Arabidopsis thaliana: one gene and its partners. The protein of the gene in region 3 interacts with the protein of the main gene of each other region in a pairwise test. Each region holds a gene or a part of one and is shown on either strand. Other genes may lie near its edges. The genes, in order: PDLP6, CHX4 and SUC9.

What was found.
Region 1: the proteins of SUC9 (region 3) and PDLP6 interact in a protein complementation assay, tested with the Arabidopsis thaliana proteins (one large-scale study listed by BioGRID).
Region 2: the proteins of SUC9 (region 3) and CHX4 interact in a protein complementation assay, tested with the Arabidopsis thaliana proteins (one large-scale study listed by BioGRID).

Annotation. Positions count from the first base shown.
Region 1 is NC_003071.7:288,835-294,806, forward strand, and holds PDLP6 (plasmodesmata-located protein 6), read right to left. Parts: upstream 3,855-5,972; 5' UTR 3,663-3,854; coding exon 2,939-3,662; coding exon of another isoform or gene 2,883-2,938; exon of another isoform or gene 2,454-2,882; coding exon 2,322-2,453; coding exon of another isoform or gene 2,314-2,321; exon of another isoform or gene 2,150-2,313; coding exon 2,139-2,149; 3' UTR 1,739-2,138; downstream 1-1,738. UniProt on the Arabidopsis thaliana protein: Modulates cell-to-cell trafficking.
Region 2 is NC_003074.8:16,386,003-16,392,905, forward strand, and holds CHX4 (cation/H+ exchanger 4), read left to right. Parts: upstream 1-2,721; coding exon 2,722-2,985; intron 2,986-3,075; coding exon 3,076-4,134; intron 4,135-4,227; coding exon 4,228-5,358; 3' UTR 5,359-5,580; downstream 5,581-6,903. Other genes in the region: ACD1 (Pheophorbide a oxygenase family protein with Rieske 2Fe-2S domain-containing protein), read left to right, coding at 1-202; RPL9 (ribosomal protein L9), read left to right, coding at 503-655, 990-1,117, 1,274-1,319, 1,461-1,558, 1,642-1,689, 1,841-1,961; CHX12 (cation/H+ exchanger 12), read right to left, coding at 6,062-6,903.
Region 3 is NC_003076.8:1,867,642-1,873,417, reverse strand, and holds SUC9 (sucrose-proton symporter 9), read right to left. Parts: upstream 3,628-5,776; coding exon 2,386-3,627; intron 2,289-2,385; coding exon 2,225-2,288; intron 1,869-2,224; coding exon 1,699-1,868; downstream 1-1,698. Other genes in the region: AT5G06180 (fission ELM1-like protein (DUF1022)), read right to left, coding at 45-221. UniProt on the Arabidopsis thaliana protein: High-affinity sucrose transporter. Responsible for the transport of sucrose into the cell, with the concomitant uptake of protons (symport system).

The DNA of each region.
Region 1 (5,972 bases), on a different chromosome or scaffold from region 3:
AGTTTTAAGAGTTTTTATTTTTTTTCAAAATAAGTATTGTTTTCAACTTTCTATGCAAATAATAAATGTATTTAATATTTTTTAAACCAATTATATTTAACCCTATATTTTTCTATTGGTTATAATTAATGATACTGTTATATAAAAGAGGTAGATTAAATAAAATTTTGATAATTTTTTAATATGTGTGTAAATACCTTAACCCACAACTAATTTGAAACAGAAGAAGTAATATTTTATATTAGGATCATGAACTAGTCTTTAGAAAGTTTTTCTTGACGTTACTCAGCTGGGTCTTAATTGCATATGTCGTCTCTTTGGCTTGCGTTTGAGCCGCAACTTGTTATTCAATGGGAGGCTGTGACACCCTCTTTGTACAAGTTTCACATGTAAGACATAGAAGTCTTGAATCCAAAGACACCAACAAAGATGACAATGGTACCGACGGTTCTTGAAAAAGCCCTAGAAGCTGTGTGGTGATCATATTCTCGGGCTGATGAAAATATTGCTTCCTCCCTCATGGCCCCGCGCATCACACAACACTCACACCTCTTCGTTGCAGTCACCAAATTTATTAGTTTCTCCACCTTGTGCGAGGAACAATCCCAATTTTTCAATCGACGCTCCAGTCGAAAAGAAGAAGCCTCAATGAAATAGGCATACGACTGGTTGTCAGTTGCCTATTTAGCAGAATCCATGATATTGACACTGGGACCGGTGCCATTCCCGGATGAGAAGCTGTGATTTCCACCCGCGATAGCACTATAACAACTTTCCCTTGGTATCAGCGTTCTGAATCATCATCGTCATTGTCTTAAGAAGTTCTTTAATATATTATGTACGATAGCGTCTACAATCGCATGTGTAATCTCTATAGTAGACAATACTTTTTTTCTCCTTTAACATGTTTTGTTGGTGTCGATGTTGAGTCTAACTATATTCTTTCATTTCTTGGTAATTTTTTTACTCGATGTTTAAAATCGAATTTTATTTCATTTTTACAATGTAGTTAAATTAGCCAGTATGGCTACTTTAACATTGGATCGAAAACGCAGTGCCACATTGCCGCTAACACATAATTTTAGCAACTTTTTTTTTTTTTTTTAAACGTAAACTATAAAGGAAACTTAAAATCAAATGATCCACACACAAATTGTTTTATTAGTGTAGCTGCATCTATTTGGCCTAGGATAATATCGATTGCATAAAATGATAAGAAATACAAAATAATTAAAACATTTCAAACAAATTTTAATCTACTTGAGAACAAGTTTTATTTTTTTGGGCAAATCTAATATAGAACATAAGGCGAATAATTGATGATAGAGAATTGTGTCACGTAAGCCGATTGTTCCACCAATTAGGCAATTATGCTTGTATCCCCCCTTACTTTTGTATGAAACATAATGATATAAATTTGAACACTTTATAAAGTTCTACTTACTAAAGACGTATTCATATCTTTAGTATGATATATTAGTATCTAATTCAATCAAATATATACCTACCATTTGACATTATTTTACTTTAAATCATCGTGGATGCGAGAATTCGTTGTAACGAGTTAAGATTATATGAATTTAGAAAAGGGATTTCAAAACTTAGTTATACAACATGAATAGACTTCTTTGATTGATATATAGTAGAAATGATACACCGATGCGTTTTGCAAATGAAAAATCTAAGAGAGAAATTGAAGGTAGTAATAGTTTAGAAAGAACAAAATTCTATTTATATACTGGAAATAAGAAAATGTATAGCTAACTTTGGCTTTAAATTCATAGAACATATATATACATTGTTTTGTCACAAACAGTAACACAAAATCAACAATAATTCCTTTAAACTACAACGTTAAGTGATTATGATAATTAGAAATACATATCAAAGATAAATTGCATATGCGCCACTTTTAAATGTTCTTACGTAAAGATACGATCACAAATCTAAACGGCGTGAGTTTTCTATACATTTGAAAAATAGTAAAACTTCAATTAAAGTGGGTCAAAAAAGAAACATCCTTTAGGATTTTAGTGGAGAATATGAAGAATCTCTTCGCTTTTCTTTCTCCTTTACGCATTTGATTCTTTTTTAAAACCATAAATTGATGATACAAGTCAAAAGTCCCATAACGTTATTTACTTCCCACCTGATATATTAAAAACAAAAACATTAATAGATGATATAAACAACAACAACAACAAAAAAAGTCGGATCATAGTGCCTTATCTTTGGGCTCCATTAATTACATATTGATCCGTTAATCATAACAATATTTGATGATAATGTTCGATTAATTAGGGATGGGTCATTTCATTTACCTTTACCTCTCTCGCACGATTTTGCCATAAAAGAGAGAAATACGACGAGTAACGTAACTCCAGCAATTAAGCCAACTATGATTGCAAGTGTTTTCTCTATCTCATCGTCATCATTGTTATTACGATTCCCACCTAATTACATCCCAAAAATAACACATTTTTAACAATACAATTATCAAAAATATTATATGCATAAATTGTAAATTCTATGCAAAGAAGATGGAGAAAATAAACGAAAAAAATAAATCTTGAAAATAAAAATCTCACATAACCACATGACTAAGACAATACGTTCGTAACTATTCGATAATAAAATATATATAAATAGTAAATACTGTACAGTTAAGTTTTTACTGCAGTTATTGATTCAGTTACCACTGTTAACGGCTGTTAATTTGAATATCTAATTTTAACAAAATTTAATAAAACGAAAGTTTTAAAAAGATATAAAAATTAATTTAGATATTTTTTGAGAAAATTAAATAATAGAGGTATTAAACAGACAAACTAAAATTAGCCGGAGATTTTTTCGGGTTTTTCCCTTAATTAAAAACTTTAAAATCAAATAAAAATCTTTATAAAAGAAATAAAAAGCAACGGAGCAAAGAAGACATTACCATAGCCGTTGGCTCTAGAGTGACCTCCACGCGCAGAGTAACGCGCGTAGCACTTTGCTAAGTACACGTCACCCCAAGCAGCTCCTCCGCAATCCGTTCTCAGCCGTCCGATCGCTTCCATCAAACAGTCTTGACACTCAGTCGCACTAAGATCTCCGGTGCACTGCGCCACACCTTGCAGTTCCCCCGACACTCCTACTCTGTATGAACCACCGCTACTCGCCGCTAAAGAACCCACCACCGAGTCTCTACGAGTCATCTCGTCCGAGTTATAACCAACCGGTGGTCCACAACGTCGAACCACCACCGTCTTATCCTCAACACCGAGGAACGTCGTGTTGTCGTATTTAACGAAACAGCCTTCGAGCTGCAACGCGCCACCGCTTGCCATGGCGCAGAGACTCCCTAGACGGCTTACTGCTCGCGCGACGCATCTTGCACAATCTCCCGAGCCGGAGGAGAGATCACCGCGACACTGGTACAAACCGTAGACGGAGGAACTGTCGCCGGAGATTCCGTTGGTGGTGAAGTTGTTGTATGTGTAGAGAGAAGCTGAGCTAACGAACGAGGTGAGTAGAGAGTTAACGTTTGACTCGTAAGGCGATCCCGGAAAGTACTTTTCTTGTGAGCAACCACCGTAGATAAAAGTATCGACAGCGGCGGATGAAAACGTTCCGAGAAGTGACACGACGGCGATAAAGAGAACTGTTTTTGTAGCGAACATGACTTTCGACGATTGCTTCTTTTTGTTCTCTCTCTCTCTGTGGTATGATTCGAGAAAGAATGAGAACGTCGCGACTTTTTTTTATGCTTGGTGTTTAACTTTTTTTTTTTTTTAATGATTGGTGCGTTACTATATGATTATGAAACACTTTGATTATATTGTATTTTTATCATCTGTTTATCAGTTATATGGTTTGGTAATCGATATACTATATGTCAAAATTATTTATTTGGTAATCATATATATGAAAGTTGGCTAACTTTCTTCATATGAGTGACACATCATCACACTAATGAGTGTCACATGTTATCCTAAATTAATATTATTAGAAAAATAATAAAACTTGGTGATAAAATTTAAAAGTTTAACATTGCATTGAATCATTCATTAATCTTATTTTTAACAAAATATCTTCACTTAAAAGAAAAAAATATAAAAAATTATGTTAATATATCAAATACTATTTTCATTTTACTTTTCTTATTTTGCTATTTTTTTTAATAGTCAGTATTTGATAATGGTTAGAAACTTTTGGGTATTGCAACTTACCTGGTACTTAACCTTTTTTAATTTAGTAATTTTAACTTAATTTTTCTTATTATTACATTTTTTGGTCTACATGATATTATCATGGTCTTTTTGTACTTTATGATAAATTAGTAACATTAATAATAACATGCATGTTTTTTAAAGTAATGGTCTTTTGAGACGTTAGATATACCAAAAAATTTAATATACGACATTCTCTCCAATATAGCTAAATGCAAATGTAAAGAGAGAAACCTAAAAGTATTAACTTAAAAGACTGTTTAATTTTTGCTTTCTTTTTTTTCTTTCACGTGAAAACTTTTAATGCAAATGAGTAGTTAGTTATACATATGTTATTTATTTTATGTCAATCTAATACTTAGCCATGAGTTTATCATGATGTGATTGGGATATTAGATTAAGAGAGAATACATGAAACAATAAATTGTTTGCTTAGAATCAAATTAGACAACTTTCAAACTAAATAAGTAACATAATTGCATACCATTGTATCATATATTGTTGATGTAAGTAATTCATGATAGTTAAAAAAAGATTAGAATTTTGGGTATAGAGATAAAAAGATTTATACATAAAAAATATAATTGATATGTGAATCAAAAGTGAATCTAACTCTACAAATATAATTACATAAAATAAATATAACTTTATTAACTACATAATAACATATACGGAAAAAACATAAATTAGCAATCAAAATAGTTAAACATAATTATTTTTAAATAATTTTTAAAATAACAACCTATACGTAGTGTGAGTATTCACCTAGTGTAATTTTATTTTTGTTAAAAGTAGTTGGTATATGCGCACATCATGTCATCATCCTACACCGGGAAATTGGGAAATTCAGGACTGCCTAAATAATATCTTAGCTTTGGCCAAGAACCGTTACTATAATATATATAGTCGTAGAGAACCAAATGTAATGGCAAATACATTAGCAAGAGAGGCTCAACAAAAGCAGTATTATTCTACAAAATTTATGCAATCAACATATTTTAAAAATAATTTTATTCTACAATTTTTCATTTTACAAATTTTTATTTGGCAATTTATATTATTATGCTATTATGTAATGTTACCAATTGGAGTTATAGTCTCTTGGGTCTGTTAAATGTATTTCTGTACACACTTTCATTATCTAATGGATAAATTGGCCGACTAAAAAAAATATAATCATGCACTGATTAGTTTTGTTAAGTTAATTTTACACACATCTATGGACAACTCGAGGGCATTTTTGATTTAGGTGATCTTTGTTACATTGCAAGAACAATTTTTTCATAGATTGTAACTATTATCTTTTGATCCTTAAGATTATTTCAAACTATCTAAAGTTAATTTAAACTATGCCAGAAAAGAAAATTGTTAGTATTTTGTTACCAAAAATTTAAAAATTGCTAGAGGTCATTTTTATTTTTCATTATATTTGAATCAAATATCTATTATCAAAATTAGTAGAATCAATCTTATTAATTAGAAATAACTTTTTGCATAATAGATTAGAAATTTTCTAAGTTATAAAATTAATAATATATAAACTCTTTTTTAGTAAGATATTAGCTTAATTAATCTCTTTATTGGCTAAACAAAAAGATTGGAGTAGTTTGTTTTTCATGTCTATTTTTCTTGATTAATTTTATATTTTCCTAATATTGCCTGGTTACTCTCTTTCTCTAAAAGTGGTTGATATCAAAATCTTGTAATAAATTAAAATTTCAATTTTTTAATTTTTAATTACATGCAAAGAGTGTATCTAGC
Region 2 (6,903 bases), on a different chromosome or scaffold from region 3:
TTACAACAGTTTCCAAATCCTCAAGAAGTTTCTCGTTGGCGCGACGGTTTTCTGGGCCGCCACGGCTGGTGTTCCTTCTGATGTTCAGATTCGACTGGTTCTTGCTGGTTTATCACTGATATCAGCTGCTTCTGCATATGCTTTACATGAACAAGAGAAGAACTTTGTGTTTAGAGATTATGTACATTCTGAAATCGAGTAGATTTGTTGTGTATATGTATAATCATCATACAAAGTACAAACATTGTAAATCAAAATCCAGAGGAACTTTTAGCACTATAAAACCGATTTAACCGTTAAATTTTGGGTACTCAATTGAACTTTATAAAACTTTTAAGTAAGAAAACAGAAAAGTAGAATAATTACGGGGTCAAATTCGAAACATAAGAAAAACATTCGTCACTTCACTTGAGCAAGCACACGAAAAGCCGATAAGAAGATAACAATTACTACAACTGTGCGCTCTTGTTATCTCTGCTTTGAAGTGAAATCAGCTTTGGCTATGGCTTCTTCGACAGCTTTGTCTCTCTCATGGAGCTCCTCTCCTTGTTGGTCACACAGCTTCAATGGCGGTGCAAATGAAACCCTAAAAGTATCTGAGCGAAGGTTCAATTTTGAAGTTGTTTCCCAGAAGAAAGCTAAGAAACTTCGCAAGGTAAAAGTCATTACCTTTCATGGGTTTCCTTCAAAAATTTGATTTGGCTTTTAGTTAGTTTTTGATTTGAGCTTGTGTTTCTGAAGAATTTTGGTGGAGATGAAAGTAAAAGACTTGAAGATGCTTAATTTATGGGTTTAGTGTAAAAACATCGTCTTTGTTCTTGTATCAGCGTAGTTAGGAAGAAAGATGAATCAACATTAGAAAAGTAGACGCCTTTATATTACCAGTTTAGTTTCAAGTAGTGAAGATAAATTGGTTTGAAGCTTTGTTTCTGTGTAGAGAAATGGAGTAAGTGAAACACTAATGGTAAATCTTGTTTTGTGTCTTTAAGGTAATTTTGAAAGAGGATGTGACGGATTTGGGTAAGCAAGGGCAATTACTTGATGTGAAAGCTGGATTTTTCAGAAACTTCCTCTTGCCTACTGGAAAGGCTCAGCTTATGACTCCACTTCTGCTCAAGTAATTCACCTCAACTTCGAAATTTCCGTTCGCTTTTGTATGCTCTTACTATTCGGTTCTAAGGCCTTTGTATTTCGAGGGACTTTGCTACAATGTTGTAAGATCAACAAGAAAAACATCATTTTCTTTCTTTTTGTGTGTGTGTTTTTCCCCCAGGGAATTGAAGATGGAAGACGAACGGATTGAGGCAGAGAAGCAAAGGGTAATCTGATATGAATACATTGATTGTTTTTATTTGATCATCATGTAAAGTTTTGGTGTTTGAGTGATCACCAAAAAACTCTTTGGTTATTGATTTTCATCTGTTTGTTGGTTTTTTCTTTGCGTGGAACCTTTTTTGCAGGTGAAAGAAGAGGCACAACAACTGGCGATGGTATTCCAAACCGTTGGTGCTTTCAAGGTTAAACGCAAAGGCGGTAAAGGCAAACTGATATTTGGATCGTAAGTCCTACTTAAGCAAATCTAGATTTTAACAGTCTTGAGAATAGTGTTTAGCCTGTACTTAACTTTATATTTTCCTGCAGTGTCACAGCTCAAGACCTCGTCGACATCATCAAATCACAGCTCCAAAAGTAACAACATAGAAAATTTTACATTTCCACATAAAAAGCTACAAGCTTTCTCATGTGGGCGGTTTAGTTGGATCAGTCTACATTTGGTTTTTAGTGTTGTTCGAAGAACCTAATATGGTTTTATCTGCTTCTCTGTGGCTGTGTTTTGCAGGGACATCGACAAACGCCTTGTCTCTCTCCCAGAAATCCGTGAAACCGGAGAATACATAGCCGAACTCAAGCTTCACCCCGATGTCACTGCTCGAGTTAAGATCAATGTTTTCGCTAACTAAACCTTCAACGATTCAAGACTCCTACTGCATCCCAAGGTATTTCTTGATTTTCCATGATCATGTGGCTTTTAACCATAAATGAAACTAAGTATTAGTTTTGTCTTAGTTCGTGTCTTAATTGGCATGAAATAAGTAGTTAAACCGATGTTCTGAACTCTGAACATCGGCATATAAACATTGGTCGGGAATATTGGCTGTTGAACGGAGTTTTGCGTTTTAAGGTCTAGCCGCAAACGCAGATGCTAATTGTCCATCGCACTGTGTTTGGTGTTTTGAACTTGCAGGAACGTATAGAGAGGGAAAAGAGAGTAGCCTCTTGTGGTGAGGATTGAAGGTTGTGAAGTTTTTCCTTTAGATTGTTTGATGCATTTGTATTTTTGCTATTTTTGGAATCTGGAAACGCTAAAAGTATAATATTCTCTTGCAAGTTATGATATTTACTTGAAGTTATATTGTATTCATTTGTCTGTTGAAGTGATGAGAATGCTTAAATTAACACTAACAAGCTGTTTAAAAAACTAACAAATAACCAGAAATCTGAAAAACTATGTCGCCGTCTCTTGTTCCCACAAGATTGACTATTTTTAGAGAGTTGTTGTTTAATGACAAAACCCAGATGTTTTTTTGTTTCACTGCTTCTCTTCAATTCTGTTACCAAAACCTTTTTTGTTTAAGACAGTTATAGCTCTTGATTCGGTTTTTATAATCATATGATTCTCTTGTTTCTATCATCTTTGTTCTTGTTAACAAGTTTTGTCCAATGGAGTTTAATGGTGATAGGATCCCTTACCTGAGAGATACATGGAGAGATGCAAACATGATCTGCGGTATCTTGCCTATTAACCCGAGCTCGAGCGGGCTATGGCCCTCCCCGAAGCTCCCAGATCCTCAAGCAAACATTGAGTTCTGGAATTACATGTTTCCACATGTTCAGATCATTTTCCTTATCGTCACTATTCTCTGGCAATTCTTCCATTTCTTCCTCAGACGTCTCGGCATGATTCGTTTCACCTCCCATATGCTTGTAAGAACTTTACTCAATTCTTGAATCTTCAAATCTCTCTTCCTCTTTGTTTGCATTGCTTATGTTTGATATTCTGTGTGGTTTTGCCAGACTGGGATTCTCTTGAGCAAGTCGTTTCTTAAGGAGAATACACCGGCTAGGAAATTCCTCTCGACGGAAGACTATAAAGAGACTCTGTTTGGTTTAGTGGGTGCATGTTCCTACATGATGTTTTGGTTCTTGATGGGAGTTAAAATGGACTTGAGTTTGATCCGCAGCACCGGGAGAAAAGCTGTAGCTATCGGTCTTTCCTCAGTGTTACTCTCTATAACGGTTTGCGCCTTGATCTTCTTCTTGATCCTAAGAGATGTAGGGACGAAAAAGGGAGAACCGGTTATGAGTTTCTTTGAAATCATTTTCATCTATTTGATCCAATGCCTTTCGTCGTTTCCTGTAATTGGAAACCTTCTTTTTGAGCTTAGGCTCCAGAATTCAGAGCTTGGCCGTCTCGCTATGTCTTCTGCAGTGATCAGTGACTTCAGCACCTCGATCCTCTCTGCGGTTCTAGTCTTTCTAAAGGAACTCAAGGACGATAAATCTCGGCTTGGATCAGTTTTTATCGGAGATGTTATTGTTGGAAACCGTCCTATGAAGCGTGCGGGCACAGTGGTCTTGTTTGTTTGTTTTGCCATATACATATTCAGACCATTAATGTTCTTCATTATCAAGAGAACACCTTCTGGTCGTCCCGTAAAGAAATTCTATATATATGCAATCATCATTCTTGTCTTTGGATCAGCCATTCTTGCCGATTGGTGCAAGCAATCTATTTTCATAGGACCTTTTATCTTAGGCTTAGCTGTTCCACACGGTCCACCTCTAGGCTCTGCAATACTTCAGAAGTTTGAGTCTGTGGTTTTCGGCACATTCCTTCCTTTCTTTGTGGCTACCTCCGCGGAAGAGATCGATACTTCGATTTTACAGTCTTGGATAGATCTCAAGAGTATTGTCATCCTAGTGTCTGTATCGTTTATTGTCAAATTCGCTCTCACGACTCTCCCTGCCTTCTTATACGGTATGCCAGCAAAGGATTGCATTGCTCTGTCTCTAATTATGTCATTCAAAGGCATTTTCGAGTTCGGTGCTTACGGTTATGCGTATCAAAGAGGGGTAAGTAAATGTATTTGACATATTTCCTTCAAAATGTATCTAACACATTTTGATACACTCAGAAACTGAGCTTAGTATTCATTTTGATTGCAGACTATTCGGCCGGTGACCTTTACGGTTTTATCTTTGTACATCTTGTTGAACTCTGCAGTCATACCTCCGCTCTTAAAACGCATTTATGATCCTTCGAGGATGTACGCAGGATACGAGAAGCGGAACATGCTTCACATGAAACCAAACTCCGAGCTCAGGATTCTATCGTGTATCTACAAAACAGACGATATCCGTCCGATGATCAATCTCCTTGAAGCTACTTGTCCCTCAAGAGAAAACCCTGTAGCTACTTACGTCCTTCACTTGATGGAGCTAGTAGGACAAGCCAATCCAGTCCTCATCTCTCACCGATTACAAACCCGTAAAAGTGAGAACATGTCTTATAATTCTGAAAACGTCGTTGTCTCATTCGAACAGTTCCACAACGATTTTTTCGGCTCTGTTTTCGTTAGCACTTACACGGCTTTATCCGTGCCGAAGATGATGCACGGAGACATCTGTATGCTGGCTTTAAACAACACAACGTCTCTCATCATCCTTCCTTTTCACCAGACTTGGTCTGCTGATGGATCAGCCATTGTTTCAGACAGCCTAATGATCCGGCAACTGAACAAGAGTGTCCTCGACCTCTCTCCTTGCTCTGTCGGAATCTTCGTCTATCGAAGCAGTAATGGACGGAGAACAATCAAAGAGACAGCTGCAAACTTCTCATCTTACCAAGTTTGTATGCTCTTTCTTGGAGGTAAAGACGATAGAGAAGCTTTATCACTCGCCAAGAGAATGGCTCGTGATTCAAGAATAACCATCACAGTGGTTTCACTCATCTCTTCCGAACAGAGAGCGAACCAAGCAACCGACTGGGATCGCATGCTCGACTTAGAACTACTCAGAGACGTGAAAAGCAACGTTCTAGCCGGTGCTGACATTGTCTTCTCCGAGGAAGTAGTGAATGACGCAAATCAAACATCACAATTGTTGAAATCTATTGCGAATGAGTATGATCTGTTCATCGTCGGAAGAGAAAAAGGAAGGAAGAGTGTTTTCACCGAGGGGCTTGAAGAATGGAGTGAGTTTGAAGAACTTGGTATCATTGGAGATCTCTTGACTTCACAGGATCTAAATTGTCAAGCTTCTGTGTTGGTGATACAACAGCAACAACAGATGATCTAGGATTTTTAAGAAATCAGGAGATGACTAATAGAACGAGTGTTTCTTGGGGATAGAAACATCGATCGATCAGCTGGAAATGGCAACGAGAGAGTCTTGGGGCTTCTGGAAGTTGCCTCGGCACATATACAGAGATGTGAAGCCCTAGTTGTTACCATTTCATGTTAGAAATTGATTAGAAACAAAGACTTTCTTGAGTTCCAAGTAATGATTACAATGTTTTTGAATGTTGTATATATTTCAACCTATTTCAATCTGTGAATAGTTAGAGATGTTTTTTTCCGAGTTTTGGCTTAAAAATTGGTTACATATAAAATTAGTTTTTTTTTTCTTTTCTCAAATCTCAATTACGGATTTTAAATATAAAAACAGAATCTAATTTTTTTTTTTTTTTTTTTGCATACGTTAGTTATGTTCTTTTTTTTCTTTTTTAATAGATTTTCGGCCCAAACCTGTAATTATTGCAATCTCAGGCCCGAAACAATAGCATTTAATATGTTAGTTATGTTATGTGTACTTTAGCCATGTTCTGAACTCTTTTATTCTCTCGGTTCCGTCTCATCGGTCTTGTTGTGAAGTTTTAATGGAACATCTTCTTTTTTTTCTAATTTTAGTCCTGCAATAGTGAAAACCTCTTAAAAGAATGAGAAATGTATATATGAACACCTTCTAATAAATATGTTATACACAAACAAACAGAACATTTTCACGTTTGTTGTTGTTGTTGGACTACCAAAACAGAAACCCTAGAGTCGAGTTCTCTAGACGCTAGCAAATCTCCAATGACACCTAACTCGGGTAGTTCGACCCACTCCATGAGTCCATCGAAGTCCGGTGATGCCATGCCATGATCTCTCCCAACTACCATAAGATCATAATCCTCAGAGAGTGATCGGACGGTAGTGGCCACTTCTGGACCTCCAGTCACAATCCTCTCTGTATATGCAATAGAGTTTGTGGCCTCTGTATCTTTAAGATCCTCTAAAACCTCGTGATCAAGAATGTAATCCCAATTAGTCGACTCTGTTTCTCGGTCAGAGATGAGTCGGATCACAGTGATTTTGACTCTAGGGTTTTGCTTCATCTTTTTCACCAACGAGAGTGCCTCCCGATCGTCTTTGCCTCCAATGAAGATCACACCAACGTCGATATTAAATTTTCTTGTTCCTTTCAGCGACAACTGTCCACGGTCCACAAGAATCCCAATAGAACAAGATGCACTCTTGAGGAGTGACTCATTGAGACGTCTTATAGCTTCGTCCTCTGACTCAAACGCCCCATCTACGGTCCATTTCCTCCCCGAGGGGACGATAATAATCGATGTGGCTTGTTCCAAAGCGACCTTGCAAATTTCATCGTGCATTAAGTTCTCGTGCGTGATGGCAGTGAACATGGTCATGGTCACTGACTCCAACTGGCTGAAGGCAAGGTTGGCGGTATGGATGTAGGAGTTAGTTACTACACGATTTATTTGCTTGTTGTGTGAGATTAGGACGGGAACGGTTTTGCCAACAAGCTTAACGAGATGGAGGACTGTGACCACAATGG
Region 3 (5,776 bases):
AATGAAGAAGCCAGAAGAGGAATAGTGTTTTAGACGGAGATTACATAATAGAGGTGGCGATCGAAGAGGCCTAAGGATCGAAGGAGACCGATGCATTGATTCTCCGCGCCGGCGCAGCCGTTTCCGATCAGAACTGCTCGTTTCACCGTGCGGAAAACACATCCTTGGAGATTCTCCGATAAACCAGTGACGGCCAGTTCCCGTGGCTGTGTTCGTCGCATTAGAGGTGAAACTTGAAAGGAAAAGAAAGTTCAGTGACGAGAGGGATTCCTGACGAGAGTGATGACGACTGACCAGCTAGACCAAACCGAAGTTGAAATCAGAATAAATCGAAAATCAATTTGAACCGGGAATCGGAACGAATTAAACCTTCTTCAGCTATTTCAAGCGTTCTAATTTTTTTACGATTATTAGCAAGTTGATTTCTAAAGAGTTTTAAAATTTAAGATTCTAACTCTTGTGGATTTCTATATTTTTACTAAATTAAATTATTGTATTATTTGTGTTGATAATTTTGTAATTCTTTCAAAAATTTGTGTTATTGGTTTGTTGATTTTCTAACTCTATTTCATTTTTTTTGGCTATTAAAAGTTTGAGTATTTTCCGTTGCAATTTTGTCAAATTCTAGAGCTACTGGAATATAAGTTCTTTATATTTTCAGTCATTAACCATAATTTTCTGTTGCAATTCTCTCTCAATTTTATTTTTTCAAAATGTTAGTGAAATCTTTCTTCGCTAGGCTACGACTGATAAATTAGTTCATCGAGAAAGAGAATACTTGATTTTTTGCTTAGTATCAGTAGATCCACATATATATTGCTTCAATTTTGCTACATGATGATGTTCATTTCGAATTGATAAGTTTTGAGTACATTTCGTACCAATTGAAACTTACGACTTCTCAATTGTAATTGTAGTATTCAGTTAAGAAATTTTAAAGAATTAAGAGGATCAAAAGTAGATTTTAAGGAATTGAATTAATTCTAACCAAATCTTTGCATGAATTCCTGGAATTTTTTATTCACAATCTTGAGTGGGATTTTTTCTTTATTAATCCTAATATTGAATAACACTAGCATTTAATAAAATTTGTTAATCAAGAATTTAAATAATACTAGAATTAATAGAATCTAAAATACAAAAATTAAATTCTTAAAATTGAACACACACTCATCCCCCTCTCCTTCTAAAGTTAGTGTAGGCCTTCATTTCTTTCTTCGCTAAACCGCGGCCGGTAAGCTTTTTGCTACCACACTCATCCATGTGTCTACTCGAGTCTTCCCACCTGCCCCGTCGTCTTTGTTTAGACTAAATTTATTTTTTTGGTCTTTGATTTCATTTTATTTTATTTTATACTTTTTTAAAGTGTATTATGTTTTTTTGAATATTTCATTGTTTCTACAAAATAAAATGTATCATGAATGAATTGTCATATAAAGGTAAAAATGTTAGATTTACAATTCCTATGCATAATATTAATTTTTTTTTTTGTTATTTACCTAGAAGTTTAAAATACTTTAATTTACGCAGATTGATGTTGACATAGATATAGAAGTTAAACAAAAACAAGAAGAACTTTTTAAAATTAAAACTTTAATTAAATAATGTAAATAAATATGCCACATGCTACATTAATATTAAACATGTGGATACATAACAATAAAAAAGAAGCACATAACAATAAAAAAAAAAAAAAAATTAAGGTAAAACGGTAAGTGCCACAACACTGCTGATTAGAGCTGCTATAGCTCCAACCACAAATCCAGGTAAGTTTCCACCTCCAAATAACGCATCAATTGGACCAACTCCAAACGATACAATCATTTGTGGTATCACTATTGCCATGTTTAAAACTCCTAGAGAGAGTCCTGAAAAAATGACAAAAAATGTTATCACTATCCTTATTAATCTGATAAACGCTTTAATAATAATCTTAAACAGAACGATTATGTATCTTATTGATACATTTATGACAAATTTTATATGGTGAATGAAAACCAACTAATAATTGAAGATGTAAACAGATTGTATAAAAATATCAATTAACCAATAAATTAGTACATAACATACATCACCCTATGTGAAAATATATACTCGATCGTTTTTCTTATAATTGGAAACTGATCTCTCCATTACCGTTTTTTGTGTTCACACATTTTAATTAGCATTACTATGAGAATGTAGGTTCAAATTAGAAACAAAAGGAGAGGTTAAAATTAAATACCTTGACCGGCACCGGAACTGCTTGAAATAATGGAAGCTAATGCAAATGGAATACTAAATGTAATCTATAAAATATAGCAAAAAATGGATTAATATTGTTAAACAAAATAATAATTCATGGATAATAGTAACAAAAATTGGTAAAAGACATGGTGGACTTACAGCAAGAGGAATTCCAAGAATAGCAAAGAGACTCAATGCTCCATCTCTGATGGCATTGGTAGGAAGGGCCATCCGACCAGCGATCTTCCGGTGCTCCTCAGCCTTTTTAGTAACCAAAACTGTCATTGCCAAACACACCGCGAGGATTATGTTCACAGCTCCCCAAAGCCTTTTAGCTCCAATTTTCTTACTAATCACTCCAATAACAAGGGACATGACTCCAAGAACGATAGAGTTAAGCATCAACCCCAACGAACCAACTTGGATTCCGTGGTTGTATAGTTTCTTCATTTTGTCATCTCCTGCTGAGTCTCCACCATACACTTCACGACCCATCCAATCGGTATCGTATAAAAGAAAAGGAAACCATGCGATCCAGTTCAAGGCCGTGACGGCTAGAAGCATCCACATTGGACGTTTCATCACCTTGAAAGCTCCAAAGATCTCGCCAAAGAAGGGAGTTTTCTCATTGTCGGAATCTGCATTAGGCGACCATTGCTTGTCTTCCACGTACCAAAGAGCTATGATTGTGAGGACTATGAGGAGAGTGATGGAAATAATGAAACAGCTCTTGAGATTTGCACAATAGATGTCGCATGCTTTAGTCACTGTGAAAGGGAAAATCTTGTGGAGGTTAGTGTACGATCCCGCAGCGTATCCCAAAACGTTTCCAACGGCCATGAAGAAAGAGAAAATCGCGTTGGCAGTTCGAGTTTTCTTAGCATCTCCGGCTGCTAAATCACCAAGAAAAGCACGGCAAGGTCCTTGAAGAGTGTTGTTAGCCACGTCAAGGATCCAGAAACCGACAACGAAGAAACCAACGGCTCTTATCTTGACAGCTTCGTCGAGTTTATCTCCCATGGTGTGGCCGAAGTCAGCCGCAAATCCAATTAGTATAACAGCAAGGGCAACAAGCAAGGCACCAGTGGCGATGAAAGGTCGACGACGACCGAATCTTGACTTGCATCGGTCGCTGAAGTAACCGACGGTTGGCTGGACGAGCAGACCGGAGATAGGACCACATAGCCATATGAAAGATGACCATTTGTGTGGGACTCCGAGAAGCTGAACGTATGGGGTTAGGAGAGAAAGCTGAAGAGCCCAACCAAACTGTATACCGGCTGCGATAGAAGCCACTGATATCATCTTTCTTAGAGGTGACGGCTCATCAGGAACCACAACCGACGAAGAAGACTGTCTATCAACAGGCGCCGCATCTTCTTTTGCTTGGATGTCACTCATAGTTTCTTCACGTTATCTTAAGAGGTTGTGTTTTGGTGATGGTGAATCGTGATAGAGGAGATGAAAAGAAACGGACTCGTCTCTTAAAGACGAGGTGTGGAAGATGAATGAGATTTATGTTTCTATAAACGTTTTGATTCTGTGTTTCATTAGTTAAGAAAATAAATCATTTATACTAAAGGATATAACGCAAATATCCTTATAGGAATTTGGTAATAATGACAAGACTAACTGAAATCAGTTTATTATCTTATCTTTACATATTCTGAGATCGTGACAGATTTCTTGTTTCTGTAATATGTTTTTGTTTACAATTTCTCGTCAAATTTGTTTTGTTCGTTTTCCTTTTTTAAATTTCTGTTTGCATCAAACCGCATTACTGTTACATATTATTTTGACTTCCTCCACAAGAAAAAGAAGGTGAAACAAATGATATCTCAAAACCCAATTTGGGTACGTTAAGTATCCAAATTGATTATGTCGTCAGTTACGAGCCTAACATAAAATGGTTAAGTATCCAAAATTCCAAAGTGATTATGTCGTAAGATATGGGCCTAAAGTCCATAAACGTGAAAAAGCTTCTTCGATTAAGGTAAAACAAGCAAGTTTTCACGTTATCTTCACTAGATATATGTCTATCAATATTGATGATAATATTAAAGTCAAATTTCACAAACCTCGAACGAAGCTGCAATGTCAAGCGAAGAAATTTGCCAGCAGCAGAGAAAACGAGAACATCTTCTTTCCAGCATGATTGCAAGCTCTCCAAAAGACTAACGCTCTGTCTGAGCATCAAGTTGCGGGAAATCGGGTTTATATGAGTCAGAAACCTGAATGAAAACAAGAGAAGCTGAGAAGCCACTACTCTAATGGCAAGTATAGCCATCTATGATAGTTCTCGAGTACCTCAGTGAAAAGTACACTCCCACATTCCATTACTTCATGAATTCAGTACATATCGCTTGAGAGTTACATCAGACCTTGACGGACAATAACTTCTTTCAGGATAGATTTTGCTAAGAAGTTGTCTGTTTTAGCAACAAGATACAAAGAAAAGAGTACAATGAGTGAAATGTAAAACGACATCATAGAAGGAAACAATGTCCAATTATGATTAATGAACAAGGTTGGTAATACATCAAAATATGAAGTCTGAGATGGATCTCGGTGCTGAAGACGGTAACTTTCACGACCTGACATTTTCGAATCGCTGTTTCCCCTCCCCTGTGCAGACCACCGGCGATGGAGGAGTTTGTCATATAGTGTCTCTGTATTTAGACTGCGTGCCGAATTAAAGTTATAGAGCAGAACTCCGTGTCGGCATGGCTCAATCCAATTCGGTTCGGTTCGGTTCGGTTTAAGTAAGAAGAAAAAAACTTGATGAATAAGGCGATTCTGGTCTTTTTGTTTTCTGTCTTGTTTTGCCTATAAGGCTTAAAATAACATGGGCTTAAAGCCCAATAGTCAATAAACGAGGATAAGCTTCTTCGACTAGGGTAAAACAAGTCTTCACTATATATACAATGCATCTTCGATTATAACCCCCAATTCTTAGATATTAGGGCTTATGTTCTAAATCGTGTTATTCGTATTTATCGTTTTTTTTTTAAATCGTTGCGCAGCCCTTAAGATCGCCTTCCACAAATGCTTAATGGAAGCGTGTCGAGTCATTGCTGCGCTAAATCGAAATTTATTAAGGGTTTTTGATTAGGGTTCTCCTAAGAACTAACCCAGTTTTTACCTTCCTGATTTATTATAGGTCGAGTTTTTTTATATCGGCATTAGATCTGGAATTAAGGTCCTCTCTCGCTGACTCTTCAGATATAAGTGTTTATCTCTTTTATCTGCTAGAGATCTTTGCGTTTGAGGATTTTCAGATTTTAATTTCGTTCATTTAGTATCTCGTTCTATATAATCGGGTAGGATACATTGTTTTTATTGGTTTTGCAATGAAACGGCGAGAATGATGAACCAATTAGATGTGCGAATGAGGGGTAATTTCCTCATTATGAGCTTAAAACTGTTTGAGGCATATTTAACATCTCTGACTTCGCCGCTTTTCAAAAGTTTTGTTTGAGTTTTTATTGTTTGTTTTGGTTTGATGGAATAGTGGAAAATGAGGAACATATAACTCAAACGTGAATCAAAC